Saccharomyces cerevisiae S288C: one gene and its partner. The gene in region 1 interacts genetically with each later gene. Each region holds a gene or a part of one and is shown in the gene's direction. Other genes may lie near its edges.

Region 1 (2,927 bases):
TACTATCAAAAAAAAAAGCTTTTTTTTTTTTGTTTTTTTAAGTTTTATGGAATTTCATTCGTAAAGGCGTTTGTCTCTAGTTTGTGATAGTGTAGATACCGTCCTTGGATAGAGCACTGGAGATGGCTGGCTTTAATCTGCTGGAGTACCATGGAACACCGGTGATCATTCTGGTCACTTGGTCTGGGGCAATACCAGTCAACATGGTGGTGAAGTCACCGTAGTTGAAAACGGCTTCAGCAACTTCAACCGGGTAGGTTTCAGTTGGGTGGGCGGCTTGGAACATGTAGTATTGGGCCAAGTGAGCTCTGATATCAGAGACGTAGACACCCAATTCAACCAAGTTGACTCTTTCGTCAGATTGAGCTAGAGTGGTGGTTGCGGAAGCAGTAGCAGCGATGGCAGCGACACCAGCGGCGATTGAAGTTAGTTTGACCATTGTATTTGTTATGTTTGTTATGTTTGTTAGTGCTGATATAAGCTTAACAGGAAGGGAAGGAATAAAGACATATTCTCAAAGGCATATAGTTGAAGCAGCTCTATTTATACCCATGCCTTCATCAGTCATCACTACTTAAACGATTCGTTAACAGACGCTCATTTAGTACCTCGCATATTCTCCATATCTCATCTTTCACAGAATTTGATTATCACTATGAAGATGTTATTGTTTTTAAACGAGGCATGCATCTTTATAGATTCCGTATGCGAAGGTATTGTTTTCTGGGGCCTTTGTCTATTCGTATGCGCAGAATGTGGGAATGCCTATTATAGGGGTGCCAGAGTGCCTTATAAAACCCTTTTCCGTGCCTTTGAAGTTTCCGTTTTCGGTCAAAAAGAATATCCGAATTTTAGATTTGGACCCTCGTACAGATTCTTATGTTTAAGCCCATATTCAATTTGCTGTAAACAGCCTCCAATGGAAGAGGTAATACTATATTATCCCTCTCCTGATAGTTTAATTAAAAATAGAAAACGTGTATTGGGAGTCGCTTATTTGTAGAGTTTGTAGTTTTTAAGCGTTCTCAGGAAATTCATTGACGCAATTACGTAATTGTAGGCCGCTGAGAAGCAGCTAGTATTGGAAGAGCCGCGTATGGTAAAAAAAAAATGTTGAGTTCAGTTTGTAGCAGTACTACAACTCTGTGCGGTGGGAAAAATTTATTCTTCGAGGCACAGTATTTTTCTTCTAGCTAGATATAAAGAAAAGTGAAAAAGGCAATATATGGCGCTAATGTATTTTATTCAATTAAAAACTTTCTGTAGGAAATGGTATTAATAGTTGGTATTCCTTGTAGACAAAACCATCGCTATATTCATGGTGACGGCTCATCTCTAAAGCTTCTTAAATGTACAGTCAGCTAAGTGTTCTCATAAGAAAGGGTTTGAAGAAGTCTCCGATAGCGTGCTTTAGTATGTTGACGAAAGAAATCAAGATCTAGCTTATATGTCATAATGAAGTAAGTTATATTGGAGTTTTTCTGGTAAATTCTACAAAAGTTATGCAACATACTTATTTCTGTCCTCTTCTTACTCGTCTTGCGGCCAAAACTCGAAGAAAAACATACGGGCCAAGAAAAATGATGCAATCCTCCCAGTTCTAGATATTCCCGCTTTTAAGTCCCGAATTATAACAATATAAAAAGGATATAGAAAATGTAATTGTTAACTTGTGGTATAAAGACAAATTCAAAAGCAAGTGAGGGCCCGCTAAGGCTATGAGTTCAGAATTATTAATATCTAATTCTAAACCAAGACCAGAAGGATTAAGAAAATTATGCGAAGGTGAGACAGTGATCCTTCCAAGGGACATAACCCCCAGCAAATGCGCTTATTTCTTAAAACAGAATATCGTATTCATTTCATATATTTTCATCCATATTATTATTACCATAATCTTAAACCGCCTGGCATTATCTGCACACGGTAATACTTTGATTATTATCTTAGCGGCTTTACTAATTACAATTTCACTATTCCTTTTACTCCTCTTACCTTACTTAAGCTGCTCAAGATATAAGTTAAGATGTTTAGATGATGATTGTAAGTTCAAACTATTAGCGGAAGTCATTACACATAAACCTAACATGGACTTGAGCACATGGGACCGGATTGCATATGACATGAACCAATTTGTATATGACCGTCGTATATGTGCAGATAGATCTTTTTTCTACGATGGCAGTTATTGCTATCAGGTTTTTAAAAAGTTGGTGGCTACCCCGTACCTTGTGAATTCCAATATGAATAGTATATATGCTGATCTGGAGATGAGAAGTAATGGAGCAACCAACATTAACGATTCTGGTAATAGTTCATTACACATCGAATTGGGCACTTATATTTTTAAAGCATTGGCCGTTTTCAGGAACTCTGTTGACAAGTACTGGGAGGATAAGTATCCAGAGATGGGGGTCACAGTTTGATTGGAAGGTATTTCTAGGTTCTACTTTAGTTTTTTATAACGCATCCAGTACAAAGAAATGATATTGGTATTTGGAAAAGTCATTGAATATTCTTGAATAGATTATAAGTGAGCTTCCTTTCTGTATCAGGATATGTGGCTTAACTTTAAACTCGTATAATAAAAGTACTCGTATTTTTGTGGGATGTTTGCCTCCGTAAATTTATAAATGGCAACAGGAACACTATTATAATGTAATGTTACAATATTACTTTTACTGTATAAGTTTAATGCTTTATAAAACTAGATGGCAGCTTCTAAGTTGTGGCTTGTGTCGGAGGTTCAAGCTGTCCTCCAAGTTCAGCGCAGCGATTATTTGCAAATTATCTACGTAAGGACTATATAAACGTTTCGATGCCCTCTCTTCACATCTTTTGTGTCGAACCTCGAACATCGAGCATGCATTGTCCATTTTTGAGCCAGTTTCTGCTTATTCTCGTATTTCAACAATAATGTTGTTGCA
Region 2 (2,354 bases), on another chromosome or scaffold:
CTGCAGAATAGAAGGAAAAAGGAAAAGTGTTTGGAGAAGATGGTTCAATCGATAAAAAGTATGCCAAAAATGCCAAAATGCCGACTGTAATCTCTGATTATTGTCGCAGTGAATCGTTCAACACTTTTCGGTGATTGGGAAAGGCACACTTACTGTCAGACCAAAAGCGTTAAATAGCAACAACGTATTGTTCGCGATTATTTGTATTTTTCAACAATTTCTTTTAACTTGTGCGACGGAAAGATCGCTGTTGCGTAATTATGCTTGGCTGGGCGGCATGTGAAGTTTTTGGCCGTCGTTTGTTGGAGGCCAGGGGAGTAGTGAACCGTGCCTGCACCTCGTGTATCGTGATGCGGAGCAGACGCTGCTATAACCCGGCCTCCGAGGAGCCGTGGGTGCACGGGCATGGAAGGCTGATGCGGACCTTCTACGGGTTTTTTCACATGCTGCCGTTTGCTGAAACATCTTAACTAAGCCTTCGCGCGGCCATACGGGCCCTCAAGACATTCATTACTTGGTATAGAAAGGTATATACGAAGGCAAATAGCCATATTCGTAGAGGACGAGACCGCATAGTACAGCGGGATGTTCCCATAATAGATGTTGTTCATTCATTGTCTCTGGAGTTCTTTCTGCCAGCAAGATTTTGATTTGCGTAGAACTCCATAGACATACTTGCTTCTGGACCACCCCTAGAGACCACGTTGTCCATAACGAGGTCGCCATCCAGATCGTCTGCCAGCCCGTCGTTCTGATACACGGGCGGCCCGTGAAGGGTGTCTCCAAGCCCAGAATACGTGGCGTTGAGATCTTGCGCACCCTCAAACGCCATGCTTGGATCTTGGTATTGTTCCTGGTCTTGATCTTGTACGTCCTCACCGTGCAGGTCCATGCATACGGCTAGTGCTTCGTTACAATTGTTTACCAGGTCATCGCCCCTGTTCACGCCGAAGTTTTCGAAGGTGAAAAGGGTTTCGATTTCGTTGTTATAATGGCGATCGTATATTGAATATTTGGGCCTGATAGTCAATTCCACGCTGCGCACGGTGAAGGCATGTGCTTCTTCGCCGTCGAATTCGCAGGCCTGTGGCGCGAGGCTTTGGTAGAGCATGTCCAACACTTCGTCTCTTTCCAAAGTCAGCAAAATTTCTAATTGAAGCCCTTCCCTACCATCTGGTAGCCGTCTTGATGCATGGTACAAAACGCTGCTGTAGGGAATTTCCAGCCCATATCCCAAGCCATTGAACCAAATGATAATGCAGCTGTTGAGTATAAACAGGTCTGTGCCATACTCACTGGTGTCTTGTGGGTTGGCTTGATTGGACAAATGAGAGCTCGAACAAGGTGTCAGGGAGCCTAGTATCAGGTCCCGACCTCCGCCAAAGAGTATTATGTATTCTTCATTATTCAGTGCAGAAAAGTTGCCGTTGAATCGCGGCTGCGTCTTCTTGAATTGGTTATATGGTATGACGTTTTCGACCGATGGTTTGGTCCTTGCAATTTGGCACTTTGGTTTTTTTTTCATCATTTTTCTTTTTATTTTATGGTTGATGCTTCTTTTGAAATAAATATTCGTCTATCACTGTAGCTATGGTCTATCTTGGCCTGTGTTGAAGTATGGTGAACAATCCGAAGTAATGGATGTATTCAAAGATCTTGCTATACCGTAGTAACGTTCTGTTCATGAACTTTTTCTCTGTTTTTGTATGTACAATTGGTACTTTATTTTTGGTTTTCGCAGATGTCTATGTTCTTGCGTCGGCATTTTTCCAAAGTAAAAAGGAAAAAGAGACAAAGTTTAAGCATTTACACTACCAAAAAAGATCTTGTTTCTTTCTAGCAAATATACACTAAACATAAAAAAAAATTATAAAAAATTGTAAAAAAAATATAAAAAAATACTTTTGTGTACAATGGCGTACAGTGGTGGACAGGAAAAATGCCAGAATTTTCTTGAATCATCATTCTCTGACTCTTAAATAGCGTGTATAACTCGTTCATGAACACTCAAATTCTTAGTGACAATGGTTGCATTCAGCCTTTTCCCACCCCCTCCGTCTCTCTTGCGAAAGTCGTGGTTAAATATATCCTTCAATCGAGTTCAGAGTCTATGTATACTATATCCGCAGTCTGCTCAAAGCCGTTGAATTGAGTAGCCGCCGATGATGTGTAGGCACCCAGGGCAGGAAAATAAAACCAATCACCGACTATAACATCATGCTTCATGTAATACTCTTTGGCAATACAATCCAAACCATCACATGTGGGTCCCCAGATGGAAACTTTATATGGATACTCAGATCTTGTTTTGTTGATAGAGTCGAGGACCGCAGTAGTGGATTCAAAATCGTCGT

The links. A genetic interaction does not mean that the proteins touch.
Region 2: mutations in DFP4 (region 1) and YKL183C-A together harm fitness more than expected from each alone (negative genetic interaction), as found in Saccharomyces cerevisiae (one large-scale study listed by BioGRID).

Annotation. Positions count from the first base shown.
Region 1 is NC_001140.6:11,847-14,773, forward strand, and holds DFP4 (DUP240 family protein), read left to right. Parts: upstream 1-1,718; coding exon 1,719-2,426; downstream 2,427-2,927. Other genes in the region: seripauperin PAU13, read right to left, coding at 77-439; PXP3 (Pxp3p), read left to right, coding at 656-1,003.
Region 2 is NC_001143.9:97,895-100,248, reverse strand, and holds YKL183C-A (uncharacterized protein), read left to right. Parts: upstream 1-1,641; coding exon 1,642-1,854; downstream 1,855-2,354. Other genes in the region: LOT5 (Lot5p), read right to left, coding at 608-1,528; ornithine decarboxylase SPE1, read right to left, coding at 2,092-2,354.